Linked DNA regions of Arabidopsis thaliana. The main gene of each other region encodes a partner of the protein of the gene in region 3 in a complex. Each region holds a gene or a part of one and is shown on either strand. Other genes may lie near its edges. The genes, in order: TRIP-1, EIF3K, EIF3A and EIF3C.

Region 1 (5,000 bases), on a different chromosome or scaffold from region 3:
ATGCAACCTTGTTGGTAAGTAAGCTATCATTAACCAACAAATTATCTTTATGAAGGCGTGTCATTTTCTTGAACATGGCCGGTTCTTTTTGGGTTGCAGGACAAACTGAAATGCTCGGAACCCGAAAAGAGAGTCCCCGCAAATATGTTGTCTAGAGTTAAGAACTCAGGAGCTGGAGATAAGAACAAGAACCAAGGAGACAATGATTCTAACTCTACAAGCAAATTGCATCAACTGCTCGATACGAAGCCTCGAGCTAAAGCAGTAGCTGCAGGCTGATCGATGGTAATTCATGTCGATTTCTACTTAATTTGTCGACATAAACAAAGAAAATAAGTGCTACTAATTTCAGAAAAACTTGATAGATAGTATAGTAGAGAGAGAGAGAGAGAGAGAGGTGTGATGATTATTGATCTATAAATTTTCGGAGAGAGAGAGGGAGAAAGAGAAACTTTTCCTCCAGATGAAAATTTGGTGTTATGGTTTGTTACTGTTAATATAGAGAGGCTTTTCTTTTTTTATAAAATGGCTTCCTTTGTTGCATTTCCTTGTTTTAGACCTGATGTAATTTTATGAAATCGGTGTTATTGCTTTGCGTAAGCTTTTGTTTCTTTTGTCAAGGTTTCATGCATAAAGGATCTTTCTTTTCAGGTTTCATACATCTCTCTCCGAAAATTTATAGATCCAATAATCATCACGAATATCACAAACATTATGAGTCTGTCTTTGGGTGATTTTCTTCGCTACTCTTGAGGACTGTCAATCACACAAGGCATTCTTTTCTACAACCGAGTTTATTTTATAAAAGCTGAATATTAATGCTCGCTCACACATAGAGCAGGTTAATTAACTTGTACTGAGAACTCTGGAAATGAAAACTAAAGATTCTGTCAAAATTCAAAAGCTTTATCATCAAGGTATTTGTATTGGTAGTAAATAAAAACATGAAAATGTTAAAAGAGAGAGAAAACAAAATCCGGAATGGGAGACTTTTTCAAAGATTCTAAAAGGTTGACGTTCAAGTAGTCGGAATCTAAATCTTGATGTTGAAGTAGTCGGAGTCAAAATGATGCAGCCTCACGTAACCGTCTTCACCTCCACTAGAGAAACTGAAATATACATTCCACAAACTCAGTGAGAGAGCCAAAACACACACTCAAAACCTCATCATGTGAGGATTGTGTCAATCAATCAAAATCCAAATGTTGTTAATTTACCTCTTCCCATCAGGATTGAATGCCAAAGCATTTATAGGTCCAAAATGACCTTTCACACCACCAATTTCCTCTTGCAGAATCTATATATTATACCAAACACAATGATACACGGTTATTTAAATATGTGTATTTTCCAGGTTACATGTTTCCAAGTAAAACACTCTTATTATAAACACTAACCTTGTCGTAAAACTTAGCTTCAAACTTTCCAGCACGATGATCAGTGGTAGTCACAGCTGATGCATCTTGACCACCTCCAAGTACAACCTAAAAGAGAGAGCAGAAACATTCACAAAGATAACATCATGCCTTGCTGATTCTGGGATTCGAAATTGAATTTCATGAAGCATTAGTGCATACATGGTTGAGAAGTGGAGACAGGGAGACAGCATTTACGGGCACCACAGTGGTGTAAGTCTTAAGAAGAGTCAGCGTTCTCATGTCCCAAAGCTGAAACAATCAACAAAAGAGAACACTCTATTAGATGATTTATATCTATATGTATAGTGCAAAAATTTGAAACAAGATATACTGTACAAGTAAAAGAAAGAAGCACATGCCTTTGCAGTTTTGTCAAGTGAACCTGTAAGGAAGTGAGAGTCATCAGCTGCTTTGCAGAGCGATGTAATGTCCTTCTTGTGACCCACTTCCTCATCTGATTGCTTGAGCAATTTTCCCGTCTAGTAACAATGGCAGTAGCACCACATAAGGTTTAGTTCATAACCTTAAAAGAGAGAAATTAATACACAAGTAAGGCCTTAAGAAAAATTGAAATACCTCGGCATCCCAGATTCTGATAACTTTATCTTCACCACCACTAACAATAGTTTGGTTCAGGGGACCCCAAACAGCTCTATTGATCCTCTTCTTTCCATCAGGACAATGAAGGACAAGCACAGACTCAGCATCCTCTACACAATTGCATCAAACAAACAATTTCCTTTTAACACATACAAGAAGTTGGCTAAAACGTAAGTAGTAATTCAGCTAGGAATGTACAACTTACGTTCCTCAGGATCTTCCGCAATACGCTTCACATGAATAGCAGCGGTACGGTCCACGAAGTGATCAGTGGTAATCACTGCAAGACGATCTCCAACAGCGAAATCCACAGACCTCGTAGGGGCATTAAACTTGAAAGTGAACAATTCTTTTCCAGATTTTACATCCCACAGCTTTGCAGTCTGATCAGCACTACCAGTGATCAATCTTGACGAGTCTCCTAAGAAATCACTAAACATTCAGCTTTGAAAGACTAAGACGACAGAATTCACTCGATACTATAAACCCTAAACAAGCTTGTAGCTAAGGGGAAACAATGAATCTAATCATCGACTCGATACTATTTGAAGAGAAATTGAGAAACTTACGGGAGACATCACAGCACCAAACAGCACCGTTGTGACCACGGTAAGTTCCAAGGCGCTCGCCGTTATCGGCAAACCAGAGGGTGGGTGTGTGGTCCTTGGCGCAGGAGAAAAGCAGATCTCCTTCTCTGTTGTACCTCAGAAACGTCAATGGACGTTCATGTCCCTTCATCAGGATCGGCCTCATCTTCAGTTTCTTAGGGTTTGATGCGAATCTTTGAAACAGATACGAAATCGAATCAATCAAAAGACAAGAAAAATAATTGAAGAAACGATTACGGAAAACGGCTTTCTTCTTCACCTGTTCACTTGAAGACGAGAGAGACGACGAGGAAGAAGTGCAAAAACCCTAGGAAATCAACTTTGTCCTCTCTTTTGACACTTTTACCCTTTTGTAATTTTTTAAATTACTCGAGATGCCACAGTTTAGCAAAGCTCAGTGGCTTCAGCGTTTTTAGCTTCTTCCCTATTTGATGAGTTCGAACCTCGCCCGTTGCGCCTATTTTGTTTTTTTCCTTTCTCAAAAGCAGTTTCATACGTTTTTTTTTTGTGGGTGCATATGTCTATTTGAAAAGACAAACAACAAGCTTTATCATCAAAGTAGTATATTGGTAATTTGGTAGTACATCAATTCTGAAAATGTTAAAAAGAGAGAAAATATTATGTGGAATGATGAAAAAATGGAAAGACATGTTCAAAGAATCTAAATCTTGATGTTGAAGTAATTGGAGTCAAAATGATGCAGTCTCACGTAGCCGTCTTCACCTCCACTAGAGAAACTGAAAATACATTCCAAAAAACACTCAGCAACAAAGCCTAAAAAACACTCTCATCAACTGAGGATTGTATCAATCAATCAAAATCAAATTTTGTTAGTTTACCTCTTCCCATCAGGACTGAATGCCAAAGCATTAATAGGTCCAAAATGACCTTTCACGCCACCAATTTCCTCTTGCAGAATCTATATATTATAAGACCAAATACACAGTTACATATCTCTTTCCAGGTTACAAGTTTTTAAATAAAACTGTTTTACTGCAACACTAACCGTGTCGTAAAACTTAGCTTCAAACTTCCCAGCACGATGATCAGTGGTAGTCACAGCTGATGCATCTTGACCACCTCCAAGCACAACCTAAAAGAGCGAGAGCAGAAACATTCACAAAGATAACATCAAGACTTGTTGCTTTTGGGAACCGAATTTGAATTTCAAGAAGCATTAGTGCATACATGGTTGAGAAGTGGAGACATGGCGACAGCATTTACAGGCACCACAGTGGTGTAAGTCTTAATAAGAGTCAGCGTTCTCATGTCCCAAAGCTGAAAGAATCAACAAAAAGAACACTCTATTAGATGATTTATCTCTATATGTAATATGTATAGAGCATATTTTTGAAACAAGTAAAAGAAAGAAGCACATGCCTTTGCAGTTTTGTCATGTGAACCTGTAAGGAAGTGAGAGTCATCAGCTGCTTTGCAGAGGGATGTAATGGCCTCCTTGTGACCCACTTCCTCATCTGATTGCTTAAGCAATTTTCCAGTCTAGTAACAATGGCAGTAGCACCACATAAGGTTTAAGCTAATAAAAAAAAAAAGAGAGATATTGATAGACAAAAGAAAGGCCTTAAGAAAGTTGAAATACCTCTGCATCCCAGATTCTGATAGCAGCATCTTCACCACCACTAACAATGGTTTGGTTCAGGGGACCCCAAACAGCTCTATTGATCTTCTTCTTTCCATCAGGACTTTGAAGGACAAGCACAGAATCACCAACCTCTACATCAATTACATTAAATCAATTCCTTTTACCCATACAAAAAAGACATAGGCTAAAAAACATAAGTAGATTTTAACTTAGAATTGACAACTTACGGTCTTCGGGATCTTCTGCAATGCGTTTGACATGAATAGCAGAGGAAGTTCCCACGAAGTGATCAGTGGTAATCACTGCAAGATGATCACCAACAGAGAAATCCACAGACCTTGCAGGGGCACCAAACTTGAAAGTGAACAATTCTTTGCCAGATTTCACATCCCACAGCTTTGCAGTCTGATCAGCACTACCAGTGATCAATCTAGACGAGTCTCCTAAGAAATCACAAACAAAACACTAATCGTTAAGCTATGAAAGACTAAAACAACAAAGACAACGACTTAAATCCTAAACTGAATCCATTCCATCCACTATATACTATTTGAATTTGAGAGGCTGAGACCACTTACTGGAGATATCACAGCACCAAACAGCACCACTGTGGCCACGGTAAGTGCCAAGACGCTCGCCGTTATCGGCAAACCAGACTGTGGGAGTGTGGTCTTTGGCGCAGGAGAAAAGCAGATCACCATTTCTGTTGTACCTCAGGAACGTCAATGGACGTTCATGTCCCTTCATCAAAATCGGCCTCATCCTCGTTTC
Region 2 (4,542 bases), 9.1 Mb from region 3:
CAATTGGCTGAGACCATGAACTTGAACCACACAAGGATTCTCGCCTTCAGAAACAAACCTCAGGCTCCTGTCGAACTGCTTCCGAGCAATCACTCTGCTTCTCTTCACCAACAACCCAAATCTGTAAAGCCTCGTCGATACATTCCTCAGGTATGTACTGTATTTATTGCGTTTGATCCTTAAAGCTCACTTACTGGTTGCTGCATTAGAGTTGTATTGATCTGTTGCTAAACTTTCTGTTGTGATTAACAGACTTCTGAGAGAACCTTGGATGCACCTGACATTGTTGACGATTTCTACCTCAACTTGCTGGACTGGGGAAGTGCAAATGTCTTAGCCATAGCGTTGGACCACACTGTCTACTTGTGGGATGCTTCCACTGGTTCTACATCTGAGCTTGTGACCATTGATGAGGAGAAGGGACCTGTCACAAGTATCAACTGGGCTCCTGATGGTCGTCATGTTGCAGTTGGACTCAACAACTCTGAAGTCCAGCTGTGGGATTCTGCATCCAACCGTCAAGTAATTACTACTCTCTCTCTTTTATGTTGAGATATAATATCCGGTGTTCTTAGTCTGATGTGTTTCTCATATTTCTGCAGCTGAGAACATTAAAGGGTGGTCACCAGTCAAGAGTAGGATCACTGGCATGGAACAATCATATCCTTACTACTGGAGGAATGGATGGACTGATCATCAACAATGATGTGAGGATCAGATCACCCATTGTGGAAACTTACAGAGGTCACACTCAAGAAGTTTGTGGGCTCAAGTGGTCAGGATCTGGACAACAACTAGCAAGTGGTGGCAACGACAATGTGGTACACATCTGGGATCGTTCTGTCGCTTCCTCAAACTCAACCACACAATGGCTGCACAGGCTTGAGGAACATACATCTGCTGTGAAGGCTCTTGCGTGGTGCCCTTTCCAAGCGAATTTGCTTGCAACTGGTGGTGGTGGAGGAGACAGGACGATAAAGTTCTGGAATACTCACACTGGGGCTTGCTTGAATTCAGTAGACACTGGTTCCCAAGTTTGTTCGTTGTTATGGAGCAAGAATGAAAGAGAGTTGCTTAGCTCACATGGGTTTACACAGAATCAGCTTACACTTTGGAAGTACCCATCCATGGTGAAAATGGCTGAGCTCACTGGTCATACATCAAGAGTTCTATATATGGCCCAGGTAACGTCATCAATTTCTTTAAGTGGTGAAGTAGTTTGAGTCTTTGAGGTCATTCAGTCCTTAAACTTGTGTTGTTTGTTGTGTTTTCTACAGAGTCCAGATGGTTGTACTGTAGCTTCAGCAGCAGGAGACGAGACCCTGAGGTTTTGGAACGTTTTTGGAGTACCAGAGACTGCAAAAAAAGCTGCACCAAAAGCAGTTGCCGAGCCATTTTCTCATGTGAATCGTATTCGATGAAGCTGTTGAAGACTAAAACAACAAGGAAAACCCATTGATTGTTACAAAAAGAAACTATATATTTTTATTTTTATTTTATTACCAAAGGATTCATTCTTCGTGAATATAAAGATTACTTGTATATATTGAAATTTGAAAAAAGAAAGATTATGATTTTATACTCTTGAAGGATATCCACATTTATTATTCTACTGGAAACAAAGTGAGACTTCATGAAGTTGTGATCAGAGAACTCGTAGATGCTGACAGTTTTGTTTGAAAAGATGTTCACTGGTGAACTTTTGGACCATGGTTAATCGAATGCAAACTCTAGTGTAGTATCAATCTTTAAAAGCAAACTGAGAAAATATTTATTTACCGAGTCTGTGGCATCAAAATGGCTTAAAAATAGTTATTTACTAAACAACCCTTTGTAGTTTCTCTGTCATCCTAATTTAACCCAAACGTTTTGTCAATTGCACCATTAGCCCAAACGACAAAGCTTTGTCGTTTTGGCTTTTAAACCCTAGATTCGTCTTATCAGCGAATCTCCTCTGCACATTCCTCAGTGATCTATCAAAGTTCGAAGAGACCGACGCAAAAGGGACAGAAACGGAGAAGGAGAAAGAGGCAGAGATGGGAGTAGAGATCCAATCGCCGCAGGAACAGAGCTCTTACACCGTTGAGCAGCTCGTCGCCCTTAATCCTTTCAACCCTGAAATCCTGCCTGATCTCGAAAACTACGTTAACGTGCAGTTTCCTTTCCCTTTTCTCTCAAGCCGGATTCTGTTGTAGAAATCGTGTTCCATTGATTGTTGTTGGTTTCGTTATGATTTTCAGGTTACATCGCAAACGTATAGTCTGGAAGTAAACCTATGCTTGCTTCGGCTCTATCAGGTGCTCTAGTTGTTCTTAAGCTGGACCTTTTGATACCAAATTCAAGAGTTTTAGTGTCTCTTTTCGTTAATTGGTATTGTTGCTTTTATGCAGTTTGAGCCTGAGCGCATGAACACTCATATCGTGGCTCGAATCTTGGTCAAGGCTCTTATGGCTATGCCAACTCCAGACTTCAGCCTTTGCCTCTTCTTGATTCCCGAAAGAGTGGTATTCTTCTTTCCTCTTAACTTCACAATGTTTTGCTTTCTTACATATATAGCTTATCGTAGATACAGAAGAAACGATTGTTCAAATGTTTCTGACTCAAGTTATTATGCCATTCCAAGTTATTTCTGTCAGTTCAGTCTGTGTACTGAGCATTCATGATAAAGTGTGAGTTTCAATGTGTTGGATTCTTGAGGACTAATAAATGTACTTGTTTGGATTGTGTGTTTCAGCAAATGGAGGAGCAGTTCAAGTCACTAATTGTTCTATCACACTACCTTGAGGTACGCAAACATCAGTATTAGTTAGTTGAGAGTTGAAAAGGTGTGCATTGAGTATTTAAAGCACTTGTTTTTCTTTTGCAGACTGGGAGGTTCCAACAGTTCTGGGATGAAGCTGCCAAGAACCGTCACATTCTCGAGGCTGTTCCAGGTAACTAACTTCTGAATCATAAATAAATCGTCTACTAATAACAAATTTCTAGATGTAGATTTGTTACTTAAGGATATTTGTGTGTAGATGTCTTATGGTACGAACAAAGTCCTCAGTAGTGGTTTATGGTACTGTCTATTCATTTTATGATTGTGTCTAGTGTAGATGTCTTATATGCGAGAGATTAAATGCAGGTTTTGAGCAAGCTATTCAAGCATATGCAAGTCACCTTCTTAGCTTAAGCTACCAAAAGGTTCCAAGATCAGTGCTGGCTGAGGTATGATGTTTGGTTTATGATCTCGTTTTCACCACGGATAGCTTAAGTCATCAAAATAGTAGAACTTCGGATGTGAAATCTTTTACTTTCTCATATAATTTTCTGTTACGAATATTCCACATCATAGTTCTGGAAATCTAATTTGTTGACCTTTTATTTGTCAATAAATGACAATTTTCACAGGCTGTTAACATGGATGGTGCATCTCTAGACAAATTCATCGAGCAGCAAGTGACTAACAGTGGATGGATTGTTGAGAAAGAGGGTGGAAGTATTGTCTTACCACAAAATGAATTTAACCATCCGGAGCTCAAGAAAAATACAGGTGAGAATGTTCCCTTGGAACACATTGCCCGCATCTTCCCCATCCTTGGTTGAACCAATTCATGAGAACACTGCAAATTTTCCTTTTGTCTCTTGTTATCTTGTGATGTACACTTTTAAGACACCGTAATGTGAATTTTGGCAATGGCCTTCCTCTTTGCAATTTGACAGATTTTCTTAAAAATCTAGTAGACCGAGACTTTGCCATAATTAGTAGATCTTCATAGTCTGAGCTCTGCTTCTTACCTTTTTTTTTACCTTCCATGGATTCCAATACTGGTTTCTCAACAAGTGTTGGAATTGGCTCGTTTCTGATTGATTATCTTCTGTTTACTTCATTACATCTAAATAAACTAAACGAATCTTCAGACAACCCAAACAATTGTCTTCTTTAAAAAGCAAAGGAAAAAAAAAACTTTTGTTTAGGTTTCTTGGAATATAGAAACTGACACGGCAAATTTGTATTGAGAAAGTTTGAAATACAAAGAGACTGTCTATGTCTTGTCGTCCTCTCTACACAGATCACATACGAAGATTGACAGCCATCCATTTGGAAGCTCACATGTTGACACCAAATCATGTCACGTGCACAATTTTCTCTTTTCCCATGCATATTTTGACTGCTCCCTATGTGATAAATTTGACTGATTAAACTATAATTAGTTAGATCATCTCGTATCTAAGATGATTGCTTAAAACAATACTATTATTCTACTAACAACTAGGTTATTCCCAAGATCATAACTTTTGATTTTGATGTAACTAGTTTTGTAATTTTGTACATATATGAGACTTTTTTGAATTGCTTAACAGAATAAATAATTGAATTTTATGAATATAATATATAAATTTTCAATTTGATCGACAACAATGAACGGTGTTTTATTTATAATTGTTTTTTTGACAATCATGAACCTAATGATTTGTTTTTTCTATTTTATTTAGTCGACATAATGAAGACTAATGAAGATACAATATGTGATTGAAGTGAACAAGTTAGATTTAATT
Region 3 (7,406 bases):
CAACAACAACTTGAGTTCAAGGGCAGGATCAAAACCAAGAAATTAAACTATAGACTGAACATAGATCATAAAAAAGTTGAAAACATCTGCACGAAGAAGAAGAAGAAGAAGAAGAAGAAGAAGAAGAAGAGGACCTGTGACGATAGCAGTGAGACCAGTACCATCGATTCCATGAGTGACTTCTTCAGCTGTGGAACGAGCAGAGAACCCAGATGCTCCTTTCCACCAAAAAGGCCACATGTTTGTTTTGTTTCTATCTTCTGTACCACAAAATTAAAGTCTAATCTCAACCAAACCAACGCTAGCTGATGATCAAACACACACCCTAGTAAAGTTGACCAATTATAAAATTTCTTTTTCCGAGAGCTTTTGCAATGTGCCCATGCTCTGTTCTCAAAACAAGGCACTGAAGAATCTCGTATAAAAGTATTAATTACAGTTTCATTTGTTTTCTTCCTTAATCCAGAGATAAGAATAAAGATGTTTGTATACACTATTTACATTTTTGATACAAATGTTGTTAAATGTGAAATTTGGTATTCGTTTATTGTTCTTCATAAACTAATAATAAGCAATTAACAAAAAGTTTGCTTGAAAGAGAAGCTGATCAATGTCAAAGGTTTTTACAGCAGAAAGTTGGAAATAAATTGGACAAACAAAGAAAGATCCAACCGAAGAAGGAAATAACAACTCTCTCTGGGTGTGTAGAGCAAAAAACGAGTCTAACATGTTTTAAAATCTTTCATAAAAACTTATAAAAGATGAGCAATCTTCAAAAGAAGAAGAGACAGGTTTGGGCTAAAGAAGAGTGCTGTGATGTTGAAAATCCAGAGATAACCTTTTTCATTCATTCCCATGGAGATTGAGACCAAAAAAATTATTATTACTCAACGCTGTGTTGGCCTGGGCCTGGAGCTTCCAAATGTGGATCGGCGATCATCACTGCCTCTAGGACCAGAACCCCAACGGTCTCCTCCTTCAGCTGGAGGTCCAGATCTTTCCCTATTACTAGTCCACCGGTCAGTATTCTGAGCGGCTCCTCTGTTGCTTCCCCAGTGGTCATCTCCGGGAGGCGGCCCACGGTTGGACCGTCGGTCAGTTTCTGATGATGTTGGTGCTGATGGGCCTGAGACCTCAGTAGTCTGGCGCTTCCACTTCGGAACATAAGGTGCTGCTGGTGCTCCTGCTGCTGCTGCTGCTGCTGCTGGTGCGGTAGTTCCAACAGGAGTAACAGTAGGCTCTGCAAGGCGAGCAGGTGGTGCATTAGTTCCTCTCAACAGCTCTTCTCGTTCCCGCCTACTTTTCTCTTCCAGCTCTATCTCTCTCTGCCTTTGCTTCTCAAAAGCTTTATCCAAGTTTGCTTTGCGTTCAGCTTCTACCTTCTTGAGCCTCTCAGCTTCTACATTAGAGGAAAACCCAAAAAATAAACAGAAACAAGGGGTTATTAAGAAAAACTTCAATATCAAAGTCAAAATGATGTGGATTTATGGAAGCAAGTCCACACCTTCCTGCTTGCGAGCTTCCTCTTCTTCCTGCAGCTTCCTAATCCTTTCTTCTTCAATTTTCAAATAATATATCTGCTTCCTCTTGATATCCCTTTCTTGCTTCTTCTCTCGGATTATTTTACTGATACGCTCCTCTCTCTCCGTCCTGATTCTGTCAAACTCTGCTTGTCGACGACTAATCACTTGTGCTTGGAATATTTCCTGGGCACAGAAAGATTCGATTATAAGTACATTGGAAGGAAAAGTTACAGGAAAAATGTAAGAAACTAGAGAGCTTTAAAATTAATTCAATAACGAAAAGAGATTCAGATCAAAGATGAACATTAAGAGAAACAACATGACATGTCAAAGACTGACCTTATTACCCAACATTCTGGACAACCTGTTCTTCTCCTTCAAGTCACTCTCATGACGCTCTTTACTGAGTTCAACTTCACGCTGCATAGGAGAAGAGCTTTTAAGACCTCATATACTTCCAACACAGAACCAAGTTGTAAGAAAAGAAAAACTACTGAAACAGTAAGTACCTGTTGTTCACGCTCATAAAACTCTCTTTCCTCTACCAGTCTTCGCTGATATGCAGCTTCAATCAATGGAGCAGCCTCTTCTCTCTTTGCTCTTTCCAAATAATCCATCGTTTTGGCAAGCTTTTGAAGCTTCTTCTCCATTTCTTGCCTTTCCTTGAGCTGCTCAGTTAAGGCCCTTTCCTTCACAGATTGCTTTGTCACCTTCTCCTATATTTAGTTTAACCCAACCGACATTAGTAATAAGTTAATCAGTGAACTATATAATAGCTAACATATTGGTAAACTTACTCCGTCTAAAAGTGGCTTCTTCTTTCCCTTTTTCATGCGCTTCTCTGTCTCTTCCAGTAAAGCTTGGGCTTCTTCAAGCTCCTTCTCCTCTATCTCTCTAAGGATTCTTTGTTTTCTTCTCTCTGCAAGCTCTGCTGCAAGTCTCTTTTGTTCTGCCTCTTCAGTTAGCTTCTGAAGCTTAAGCCGTTTCTGCTCCTCTTCACGTTCCTTCAAAAGTAAACATCAAATAAAGGAATTTTCATAAACAGGTACAGCGTAAAAGGAGAGCTGTGCAAATAACCATGGAAAAGTAACTACCATTTCTAGTTGCTGACGCTCTTGATCCTCCTTCCTCTTTTCAATGATTGATTTACGAGCAAGCAGTCTTTTGTGCTCTTTCTCAACAGTATCTGCTAAATTTGGTATAACGCCAGCTAGTTTTGATGCTTTACTTGGGACAGGATACAGCATAGCTCTTACTTTGCTCAAAGACTCGGCAAAAACAGCCAGATGATCCCTCAGTCCATCAGACTCAATACCCTAATATACAAACAGTTGATCAAATAGATTAGTATTTAGTCAATAAGTTAAAAATTATATTACTCAACTACATATGATATAATCAGTGTTGAGCTGAAGCTTTAACAGAGGCTTACCAAATTTCCAAAAATTACAACACCCTTCATGTGATCAACTTTCATGGCAACAAAATTGTTCTTCACAGCATCAACAGAAATCTTCTCTACCTCTGAGAATTGAAAGAAGGGTACCAACTGAGATAAACTCTCAATTCTTATTGTCTGATAAATCTTAGACACCTGAAAATAAAATCGGAACATAGAACATTTAGTATGCAGAAAAAGGGATAAACCACCAGAAAAATCCAAAATGGTTGAATGGGTATTGACCTACAACATAGAGAACAAGGCTTACCTGTTGAAGTAGCCTCAGAGTAGCAAGCTTCTCCAGAGAAGGAACATATTGGGAAAGTTGCACTTCTGGTAAAGAAGGAGCTGAGGACAGTTTCCCACCAGATTTGGAAATCTTTTCCAGCAAAGGCTGAATCTTGGAGCCAAGATCAAGTGGGTGAAATTCATGCTCCAAAACATGGAAAAGATCTTTGACCTCCTGAGATGCACAGCTCAAAACACCTTTTGAAACCTAATTGCATAAAAATCAGCCTCCAAATCAGATATTTGTAAGTCGACAAATATTCTAAACCACAGACAGGGTAACAGCTAGAGACTCACCAGCTCTGACAGAAGAGCTGACCGGGAAAGCTGAAACAGGAAGGAAATGGAATTAGAATACTAAACCAGAAAGAAAGGGCGCAAAATAAAAATGAAGCAACATAAGAACCTATGTTACCATATCTTTGCCCTCAAATTTAGGTTCAAGATTGAATCCAATGAGGTTAGCCATCCTCAAATTGCGTTCTTTCTCATTTTCAAGTTCCATATGGGATGCGCTCTGAGCCCGATCAAATGGTGGAATGGACAATGCCGCCAAGACAACAGATGACGCTATTAGCTGCAAATCCTTTTGGCTTAAATTCTTGTTGAAATTTTTCTGCAGACTAAACAGCTTAAACCATGCATAAGCATGATAAAGATGGCTAGAAGAAATCCAGAAGATCTCAGTCAATTTGGAATAATAAACCATCAATAAAGATGACTTGGGCGTTTTTTTGACCATGCACATTAATCCATAGATATCTTCAACAGAGCGAAAAGCTTCCTGCAAAGATACATCACGAACCATACTAACTTATTTCCAGTAATTATACAGAGGATAAGCTATATACAGCCAAACTAAATATGGAATAGAGAAGGTAGCATCAGAAAAATACACATAGAAAACAAAAACGCACCTGCCAAAGTCCAAGCTCAGTAGCAACTTTCAACTGATCAAACCTTGTGTCCAGATACAGCTGCAAGCTCTCAGGGGCTGATAAGTCAGGTCGGTCCCTTTGGTCTCTGTACTTGTTCAGGTTTGCCAAATGATTTCTTATAATTTCACAAAGCCTACGGAACTCTGTTGTTCGCTTGTACTGCTTACAGAACTGGAAGGCTTTATGTGCTGTCATCTACAAGATTATAAAGTACAAGTCTTCAATCTCAATCAACTTAAAATCAGAGGTATCACCAATAAGCTTAACCTAGAAGAAAACAAACCGCATAAAGTGCTTCCAACTTTGAGTTGTTTCGCAATATCTCAAGGACTGTCCTGTATGTCTCCCACAGAAACTTAAACCATGGGGTGACCAACTCACGGTCAGACCTATCTTTTCCCTTCTCCCCACTGACAATACTTAGCTGTAAATCCTCAGGCTTCCTATCAGCTTCAAGGTCATCAACATCAAGAGCCTCCTCAAGGGCATCCGCCTGAGACCGAGCTTGCTCAGCTTTGTCAGTAGCAAGATGTAGGAAGTGCTTGATAACTTCCTCCAAGGAACTGACATTCACTTGCTGGCAAACAATACGATACTGAATCAATCCATCCTTAGCGAATCGACCCCTCTTCAAGTCAACACAAAGATCAAGATACTTAAACATGATCTTCTCAAGCGGTTTCTGCCAAGCTCTGTATCTCTTGGAAGTAATGAGATCATGAAGCGCCTGAAGAGCATCTTGTTTCTGTCCAACATTGATCAATTCTACACACACAAAAAAAAAGTGTTTAACACAATCTCAATTCATACACACCCTAACCACATCCATTTGACCAAATGGATGTTAAAACGAAAACATTTCGTAACTTACCATCAGCACGCTTCAACGCGTTCTCTGGTTTGGCAAAATTCGCCATGTTTCAGACGAAAAAAGCTAGTAACAAACTCTAACGCAAGGGACACTCTCAATTAGCCTGAAAAACACAGAGAAGCGATTTTGTTACAGAGATCACCAGAATCCGAAAAACCCAATCAGATATCTCAGAAAAGGATGGAAGCTACATAGACCAGAAAAAACTTGCCCAAACCCTAAATTCATTTCATAGAATCAAAATAACACAGAAAGATTCGATAACCTGACCCAAACCCTAACCCAGATCAATTCAATGAGATTTGATTAAAAGGCAGTAGAGATCCAATCACTGATGCAAGAACAGAGCCGAAACTTAGGACTAACCTTGTAGCCGTGAAAAGAGAAGACTGATAAGAGAGACGAGAAGCGAAGCGGAAGCAACTCTAGGGTTTCTGGTATTAATATTATCGTTCTACATATATATTACCCATATTTGCAGAAATCATCCTATTTTCTTACGGTTTCGAAATGACCCCGTTTTATCTTCTTAGTGTTTATAAAACCCAATTTGTCTAATACTGGGATGTGATTCAATTGAGATCAACAAAATTTATGGATTTCATTTTCGAATTATCATTTACAATATACTCTCTATATTTTGTTTAATAATATTTTTAGCAATTAACTTTGATATTTCTATATTATTAACTAAACATACATTTAAGTAAATAGCCAACAACATATTAAATATTACATAAAATGCCACTACAAAAATTCATTTCAAAAAAACAATTGATTTACATAAAATCATGAAAGGTAAAAAATTCAACTGTAAAAGGGTGTTATTGGTTTATGATTTCAAAAGAGTTTTAATGACTTAAAGTGTAATATAGAATCTGATGTTATTCAATTAAATTTTTTTTAAAGTATAATTGTGTTAACCCGCTTTAATATTTATAATTGGGCAATTATAAATTCATATAAAAAAAATTAATTATGATTATTGCATTTATATAAAAAAATTGAAAATTTGAATATGATTTTTTCTATTACAAATAGGGATTGTTAGCTTACTTTTAACTGTTTTTTTCTTAATTATACTAGGTAAGTAACAAGAGTATAAGAACATTATACAGTTCAAAATATATATTTAAGCAAGGCATTGGAAATATGTGATGGAAAATTAATATAACAGATTATTTTTGAATTATTTTACTATCGACGTATTTTTTTTGTCGGAACTGTCGCTCACGATTTGCAATAGAACATAGCCATATGTAATCATTTTGATCTATATTTTTGAGTTACTCCAAGATTCAAACAATTTAAATTCCGTTATAATCTACAATTAACCTTCCATCCAATTCCAAAATCAACAATATTTTAGCCAATTTGTGCGATGATCATGAATTTGTTTTGTTAAATTCATTGATTTTCTAGAATCCAACATGTACATAAAAAAAATTAGTGGAAATTGATATATTTTTTTGGGAAATTTGCAGAAATAACTAACAAAAAAACTATAATTCACTAACTAACCATCCTAACTATGTAATTATAATATTCTCTGTATTATATGTAATATTACTCAATTTGCCCTTGTTGCCTCAATACCTTCAGTAGCAACCACCACCGCTGGCCACCACCGCCGGCCACCACCGCCGGTCACCACCGCCGGCCACCACCGGTCACCACCACCGGTCACCACCGCCGGCCATCACTGCCTGCCACCACCGCCGGCCACCACTGCCTGCCACCACCGCCGGCCATCACCGCCAACTTCGGCCACCATCTATTCCGGTCACCACCAACACCGGTCACCGTCACTGTCGGCCACCATCAAATCCGGCCACCACCAACTCCGGCCACCACCAACTTCGGCCACCACCACCACCGCCACCACCACTGTCGGCCATCACCACCACCGGCCACCACCACCACCGCCGGTCACCACCACCACCACCACCACCACCACCACCACCGCCGACCATCACCCCGCCGGTCACCACCACCACCGCCGGCCACCACCACCACCGCCGGTCACCACCACCACCACCACCACCACCACCACCACCGCCGACCATCACCCCGCCGGTCACCACCACCACCACCGGCCACCACCACCACCGGCCACCACCACCACCGCCGGCAACCACCACACCGATCACCAACACTTCCGACCACCATCAACTCCATCCACCACCGCCGGCCACAACCATCACCACCACTACCATCTCCAATCAAAAAGACTAATTTAGTAAGTTTACTACCCTCTAGTGTTAGTTTCTACATTTTGTATATTATAGTGTTAGTTTCTTAAATAAATTATCAAAAACAGTTAGTTTTGCAATTCACCCATATTT
Region 4 (6,257 bases), on a different chromosome or scaffold from region 3:
GCACGGGAGAAGGAGATGGTATCTCAGCTGGCAATAAGTTGTGGTTCAGAAATTCTATTTGGTATGTAAGCAAAGAAAAAGGACATTTAAATCATCAACATTAATTGTGCAGATTCAACATAGAGTAGAGAGAGAGTGACAATAACTAACAATATGAGTGATGTGAAGATTGCTGAGAGAATCTTTATCCGGCTCTTATGAGTCCTCCAGTCTTGATCAGCTGGCCAAAATGTTTGACGTCTCTGAGCCGCAAGTCCACAGCATTATTATCCTTTTAAGTGCAGCAGAAGAGCCTTTCACTCCACCGGATACTTCTTCAGCATCTTTATCCGGCTTTGGCAAATGCAACCATGTCACTTGTACTAGTTACTACTTAGTACTTACTACGACAAGCTTGTGTTTCTTTTTTGTATCTGTGTTTGCCATACAACATGAGTTATAATAAGATAAGAGTTCCAAAAAAAAAAAAGAATTTTCTCAACAATATTCATTGTCGCTAGCTCCACGAAAGTAGCCGATTAAATCACAGATGTTCTTGATAAGAAATTAATCAAACACTTCATCGAGAGGAAGTTACTAAGCAAACAAAGATGAAAGAGTAAAAGACATCAACAAAAACAGACCTGCAAGCATACGAGAAAAAACCTAAGCCTTCTTCTTTTCAACAAGAATGACGCATAAAAAAAAACTTATTAAACTTTCCAGTAAAGCATTCTTAAAAGTCTTTTCCAACAACTGCCAATATCACAAAGAAAATAAACAATCACAATGCGAGAAAATGTGATGAACATCTCTTAGAAAGAACCATTTGATAACCAAAAGGAATCCAAAACATAACAAAAGGTTGAGACTAAGGTCAACACTGCAGATTTCTCCTCATCCTCTTTAAGTACGAACACCTCGGTTAAGACTCACCATACGGCTTGAGCCATCCATCTGCATACCTCTGTTTCCTGAACCAACTCTTCCTGCATACCCTCCTCCTCGGTTCTGCCCTGACCACTGACCATTTTGTCCAGATGATCTTCCTCCACCATAACCTGATCTGTTGCCTTGTCTTCCTTGTCCGTAATTCGCCTTGTCTTGCCAATATCCACCACCACCTGATGCTGCTCCTGCATAGTCCTGATTGTTGTCCCTTCTCCTTGAACTCAGATCCAGACCACCTCCACCGGTTCTAGATTCCATTGCCCTCTCATTGCTTTCTGCCAAAATCGAGAGTTTCTCCGTTAACTGGAAAGCCAATGATTGTAATCTGCTGTGTTGCACTTCATGGAAGACGATGCATCGTGTTGGCTGATCCCAGCTTGCATGCAGTTCCTCATTAATCATCATCTTACTCACAATGCTGTGGACCTGCGGCTCAGAGACGTCAAACATTTTGGCCAGCTGATCAAGACTCAAGGACTCATAAGAGCTTGAGTATGTGAATAGGTAAGTCCTTAGAGCCTCTTCTTTGATCCTATCCTTCACCATGTCAAGGATGCTGTCACGGTTCTTGAGCAGCCTCCAGACCTCAAGAGAGTTCAAAACTTCAAACGCCTTCTGGAAATCTCCTTTGGTCAGGGCTCTGGTGGCTGCCATGACATGGTCACGTACATTCTCAGGCGGTGCAGTGAATGCTTGCCTTTCACTGATCTCGAGCAGGCGGCGGAAATTCTTGCTAATCACTCTGCGTTTGGCATCGTGCGAGTTTGCAGCCATGTTTGGGACTTCAAGAAGCATGGCACAGATGAGATGAACTGCCTCCAGAAGCTCAAGGTTTAAGTGCATGTGGTACGGCATTTGTCTTCTCCTTTCCATCCTTTCCTGGTAAATCAAGAAATAAACCAAGAAAGTTTTATATCACATATAAATAAACTGAACGAAAAACATAACCATAAGCATCCATGTTGAAATAGAGAAAATGGATTGTGTGAAATGAAACAAAATGAAGAACCCAAAAATGCAACAGTGTTTGTAATCATGTCTCAATCAGAACTATCTGGTCAAACAATTTTTTTTCAATCCTATCTGTATTAAATCTAAAAACAGAAGATAACTAGTTACCTGCTCCGGGGTTTTCTCATGGTATCGGCTTTGCGAGACACCTTGGGCAAGCAACTCTCTCACTCTTTGACCAGAGTACAGCTCGGAAAGGCAGCTATGGGACTCAGTGATCATTCCAGCCCGGAAGGCGCAAAGACCAAGCTGCGCCATGGTCCTGTTAAAGAGAATCTGTGTTGAGATGTCCATGTGCTGGATGTTGTCTTGCAGATGACTCATCAGCAACAGGTCTCTAGCAGTCACAAAGTTGTCCATTAAAGCATGGTGATTGATATCACATAGCATCGCACGCGCTTTGGTCCGCTCATCTCCATTTCTGTAGATAAGGGACACAAGAATATCCATCATAGCTCGGCTGCTCTCTGGGAAGGTAGGCTTACGGGGAACAACCTCCGGAACAACAATAAATGAAGTAGGAGGTCCACTTTCCTCTTTGGCCTCCTCAGTTTCTTCTTCTTCTTCCACCAACTCAGCCAATTTCCTCATTGCATCATAAACTTCCTGGGGCTTGTAGTATATTGCCTCAACACGTCTTAAGGCTACCTTTGCAGCAGCTTTAAAATCACCCATCCGCTCAAAGTAGTCCTGGATGTTCTGAGCAAGGGCCAAGAACATGGGCTCATCCCTTAGCCTCTCAACATACTCACGGGTGTGAGGATCAATGCATTGCAAACTCTTGAAAAACTCAGTGTCAACCCTCTCCAAGAATGCAACCAAATTTCCCCAGACCCGAATTTTTCCATCATAATCTGTTGGCTTTGAAGTTTCGTTCTCATCAGGCTCAACTGTGTCATCCACAACAATGTTACTGTACTTGACGAGAATGTCCAGTATGGTGAGCATGTTAAGCACGCATTTCTTCCAGACATTGATAGGCATGTGCCCGCTGAGACCTGGATTCACATCAAACTGAGCCGAAATAACGCTAAACAAGATTTCAAGCTTCTGTGCAGGAGTCTTGGCAATCTTTGTCAAGTGCGTAAGCTGATCAACTAGCTCAAATCGAGCAGTGCCCTTTTTTCCACGAGCAGCCACAATTTCCTTGAACTTCTTGTTGACCCAGTCCCAAGTGATCTCTTTAGGATCTTTATTCATTAGCTTCTCCAAAAGCTTATCTTTTTTGCTCAGCATCTTCTCCCAAGTGAGATTATCAGTAGGTTCATCCACATCGGACCCAGGATCTACGGTAGGTCCGTCGATGGAAGAATCATCATCATCTTCAACCTCATCATCATCATCGTCATCATCATCATCATCTTCAGGTTGTTTCTCTTCCTCAACTTCTGGAGCCTCACGATACTTGTTGATATCGTCTTCGTACAACTTATTGTTCTTCTTCAATTTCTGTTTCATTGAGTTCAAAGCCTTGGAGTTACTAGTACTCATCTTCTTCTTGGCTTCCTTATTGGCAAGAGCTTCATTCAAGAAATCCTCCAACATAACAAGCGTCTTGATATACAAGGTAGGAGGCTTCACAGCCTCAGTAATCCTCATAACCTTCTCAAGCTGTTTGTTAACCTTATCAAAGTTTTCTTGAAGGCTGACCCAATCATTGATCTTCATAGCATTCTTCATCTGATCAACAGTGTAGGTCATCTCCTCAAAACGTTTATCCTTAGCAGGCTTAACCACACGTTTCGTATCAGTATCATCATCATCCTCACTACCACTTTGAAGGTAACGGTTATTGACGTCATCATTCTGAACCTCATTAACCTCTACCTCATAATCACTTTCATCTTCACTTTCACTTCCAACCTATCAACATAACAAGTAAAAATCATTCAGAAACTGAAGCAAGTAAAGGTAAAGAGAGTTTATAAACAAGAGGTCTGTTGAAGGAAACCTGAGTGAAAAAACGAGACGTCATCTTTTTAGCTGGAAGCGTAAGCAACAAGAACCTGATACACCAAAAGTAACAAATCTGAATAGTGAATCAGAGGAACGAAATTATAAGTAAAACAAACCAATCCATTCGAAGAACATAATCTGAACGAAACAATCGTGTCACAGATACAGACTCGTATCAACAAAGAATTAGAATCGATTCGAATCAATCTACACCAAACTAGAATCGAAAATTTGTTACGCTAGATGATGAGGAACAAAATTACCTGAATTCAGAAGATGGAGATGGAGATGGAGATTTGCGAAGGAGATGCTTGAGGAGGATTACGAATCTAAACAAAAATGGTGTGTAGCCGTCCAAGCATTTTGGTCGAGATGAAAAAATATATAGAATTAGGGTTTCGTGATTTACTCACTAAACCGGATTCGATTTGATTCTATTTCCATACCGAAACTGAAAACCGAGGACAATTAAAACGCTCTCGATCGGTTTTTATTTTATTTACAAACCGAATTGGTCGAACCAGGACTAAATGAAATTGTAGTGATGGTTAGTTCAATTAAATTGAGAAAAGAACCGGTTCTTAGTCCTCTTTCCTAGCTGCTTATCAGACAGATTACATATGAATTGCTTTGTACGCTGGTAACGTCAAATGACTAAATGTTTTCAAATATAGATACAAGTTTTTTTTTTACATAGTTTCATAAATCATACAAATTGGATCAGCAAACACCGACCGGAATCTCTAGAGCATATACATACAGAAAGAGAGAGAGAGAGAGAGATGGTCAATGATCAACTAAGCTTTGGTGATTGGAAAGATATCAAAATCCCCAGTCTTGCTGCTATGTATATAACTGACATTCAGTGTGTTTAGGATGTAACCTTCTCCACAGCATTGGTTTCATTGCTTTCTATCTCTCTCTCTCTCTCTCAAGCTGTCTTTACTTTAGTCGAAGTATCTTTTCCTCTCCGGAGCCATAAGTTGACAAGAACTGAATCAATCATGATCTGTAACATTCCAGATTTACGTCAATAATTTATAAAATTATGCACACAAGTACATGATGATTATAATACAATTTGTAACCTGGTTCAGGTGTGCAGCTACACAAGGAAGAACCAATAGCCCTGTCTCACCAAATGCACCTCCTAATTGCTCTACTACCGCCACCATTACCGGTAATGTTTTCTATGCCACCACAAGAAAAGAACTCCCAAATTTAAGAGATCAAAATCGGTTCTAAAAGGCAAACTCTATTATTACCTGGCTTGAAACGAGCAAAACTGCAGTGCTGTTTTCCTTGGAGCTCTTGCTACCACCTGTAAGACCGGAGAGGATGCGGATTGAAACAGCATTGAATGCTAGTAGAGAAAGATGCAGCAATCTGTAAGAAGACGTAAGAATCTTCTGTCAAACGTAATCCGCATTTCTAACACACAAGCCAAATATTTCCATGAGCTTCTTCACTTGGTATCTTTTCTATATGTTAAAAGAAGAATGCGTACATTCCAATGCCAACTGCTGCAAGGAAAACCTTAGGTTGAACGGATAGTAGCAGTGATCTTGACCTGCTCACTTGGATCCATGGCACCTAGAATATTAATCATGGAATAAACACTATTAAGTTCCCAAAATAACCAGGTAAATGCAATAACAAAGTCAGACCAGTTGAAGTAGCCAGGGAAGCAGAGGTTAAACTATAAAAAGGAAAAAAGTATTAAGTCCTTCTATCTCCAAAGTCATAACCGTGACTGCAAATATGGTTTTTGCAATTTAGTAAAAGCTTTGGATTGGCACATCAATGCCACGGAATGTTGAAATCCCAAGCTATCATACAAGAAAAGAGAAAGTTTTAAGTACAGGCATCTAAAATGCCAAGTTTAAGATTCCTGCAACAAAGCAAAACTCCAAGGATATGACTTCAGAAAGTTATTCAAGGGGTGTAGAAATTACGGGAGACTAACATTTCATATCTTACCAAACTGAGGCAGATTGCGTTGATTTTCGAAAAGAGTTTACGGTTATTGTCAACAAAGTTTGCGAAACCTGTATCACACATTTCAACAAGAGTTTCAACAAGGTCAGAAAGTAGGCAGCGATAAGCATATATATTTATTATAAACAGAACCATTTTGATCCATTGTCACGATAAAGTGACTGCTAACTATTTAAAATGGTATGTATTCAATTACTTTCACCAGAGAAGTAAAATATAACAAATGGCGCTCACCTTTGAATGATTCTCGAATAACCTATAACAGAAGAAACCAAGTATGTCAAAGCTCGATTTTAAAAACGTGTGCAAAATGGCAAGTGATAGAACTTCATGCTGAAATGACTGTTTGTGAAAGGTTCATA

Evidence for each region.
Region 1: EIF3A (region 3) and TRIP-1 share a complex: the UniProt entries of both Arabidopsis thaliana proteins name them as parts of the eukaryotic translation initiation factor 3 (eIF-3) complex.
Region 2: EIF3A (region 3) and EIF3K share a complex: the UniProt entries of both Arabidopsis thaliana proteins name them as parts of the eukaryotic translation initiation factor 3 (eIF-3) complex.
Region 4: EIF3A (region 3) and EIF3C share a complex: the UniProt entries of both Arabidopsis thaliana proteins name them as parts of the eukaryotic translation initiation factor 3 (eIF-3) complex.

What each region holds. Positions count from the first base shown.
Region 1 is NC_003071.7:19,002,623-19,007,622, forward strand, and holds TRIP-1 (TGF-beta receptor interacting protein 1), read right to left. Parts: upstream 3,111-5,000; 5' UTR 2,886-3,110; exon of another isoform or gene 2,800-2,885; 5' UTR 2,772-2,799; coding exon 2,588-2,771; intron 2,440-2,587; coding exon 2,224-2,439; intron 2,129-2,223; coding exon 1,995-2,128; intron 1,898-1,994; coding exon 1,778-1,897; intron 1,668-1,777; coding exon 1,578-1,667; coding exon of another isoform or gene 1,557-1,577; exon of another isoform or gene 1,485-1,556; coding exon 1,398-1,484; intron 1,298-1,397; coding exon 1,218-1,297; intron 1,110-1,217; coding exon 1,034-1,109; 3' UTR 536-1,033; downstream 1-535. Other genes in the region: GBF3 (G-box binding factor 3), read left to right, coding at 1-14, 100-279; AT2G46290 (Transducin/WD40 repeat-like superfamily protein), read right to left, coding at 3,288-3,363, 3,466-3,545, 3,633-3,719, 3,815-3,904, 4,007-4,126, 4,227-4,360, 4,457-4,672, 4,808-5,000. UniProt on the Arabidopsis thaliana protein: Component of the eukaryotic translation initiation factor 3 (eIF-3) complex, which is involved in protein synthesis of a specialized repertoire of mRNAs and, together with other initiation factors, stimulates binding of mRNA and methionyl-tRNAi to the 40S ribosome.
Region 2 is NC_003075.7:16,038,112-16,042,653, reverse strand, and holds EIF3K (eukaryotic translation initiation factor 3K), read left to right. Parts: upstream 1-1,845; 5' UTR 1,846-2,036; coding exon 2,037-2,150; intron 2,151-2,240; coding exon 2,241-2,297; intron 2,298-2,390; coding exon 2,391-2,504; intron 2,505-2,734; coding exon 2,735-2,785; intron 2,786-2,866; coding exon 2,867-2,933; intron 2,934-3,127; coding exon 3,128-3,210; intron 3,211-3,393; coding exon 3,394-3,588; 3' UTR 3,589-4,003; downstream 4,004-4,542. Other genes in the region: CDC20.2 (Transducin family protein / WD-40 repeat family protein), read left to right, coding at 1-150, 253-522, 603-1,184, 1,278-1,421. UniProt on the Arabidopsis thaliana protein: Component of the eukaryotic translation initiation factor 3 (eIF-3) complex, which is involved in protein synthesis of a specialized repertoire of mRNAs and, together with other initiation factors, stimulates binding of mRNA and methionyl-tRNAi to the 40S ribosome.
Region 3 is NC_003075.7:6,946,947-6,954,352, forward strand, and holds EIF3A (eukaryotic translation initiation factor 3A), read right to left. Parts: upstream 5,534-7,406; 5' UTR 5,428-5,533; intron 5,165-5,427; 5' UTR 5,108-5,164; coding exon 5,062-5,107; intron 4,956-5,061; coding exon 4,474-4,955; intron 4,386-4,473; coding exon 4,170-4,385; intron 4,037-4,169; coding exon 3,668-4,036; intron 3,580-3,667; coding exon 3,550-3,579; intron 3,461-3,549; coding exon 3,233-3,460; intron 3,118-3,232; coding exon 2,956-3,117; intron 2,840-2,955; coding exon 2,618-2,839; intron 2,528-2,617; coding exon 2,321-2,527; intron 2,240-2,320; coding exon 2,033-2,239; intron 1,944-2,032; coding exon 1,863-1,943; intron 1,707-1,862; coding exon 1,505-1,706; intron 1,400-1,504; coding exon 888-1,399; 3' UTR 530-887; downstream 1-529. Other genes in the region: AT4G11410 (NAD(P)-binding Rossmann-fold superfamily protein), read right to left, coding at 135-240; AT4G11430 (hydroxyproline-rich glycoprotein family protein), read left to right, coding at 5,853-5,882, 6,667-7,296. UniProt on the Arabidopsis thaliana protein: RNA-binding component of the eukaryotic translation initiation factor 3 (eIF-3) complex, which is involved in protein synthesis of a specialized repertoire of mRNAs and, together with other initiation factors, stimulates binding of mRNA and methionyl-tRNAi to the 40S ribosome.
Region 4 is NC_003074.8:20,832,905-20,839,161, forward strand, and holds EIF3C (eukaryotic translation initiation factor 3C), read right to left. Parts: upstream 4,372-6,257; 5' UTR 4,161-4,371; intron 3,971-4,160; exon of another isoform or gene 3,948-3,970; 5' UTR 3,917-3,947; coding exon 3,893-3,916; intron 3,805-3,892; coding exon 2,050-3,804; intron 1,810-2,049; coding exon 886-1,809; 3' UTR 506-885; downstream 1-505. Other genes in the region: AT3G56160 (Sodium Bile acid symporter family), read right to left, coding at 4,829-4,906, 4,986-5,087, 5,163-5,283, 5,405-5,490, 5,878-5,945, 6,130-6,151. UniProt on the Arabidopsis thaliana protein: Component of the eukaryotic translation initiation factor 3 (eIF-3) complex, which is involved in protein synthesis of a specialized repertoire of mRNAs and, together with other initiation factors, stimulates binding of mRNA and methionyl-tRNAi to the 40S ribosome.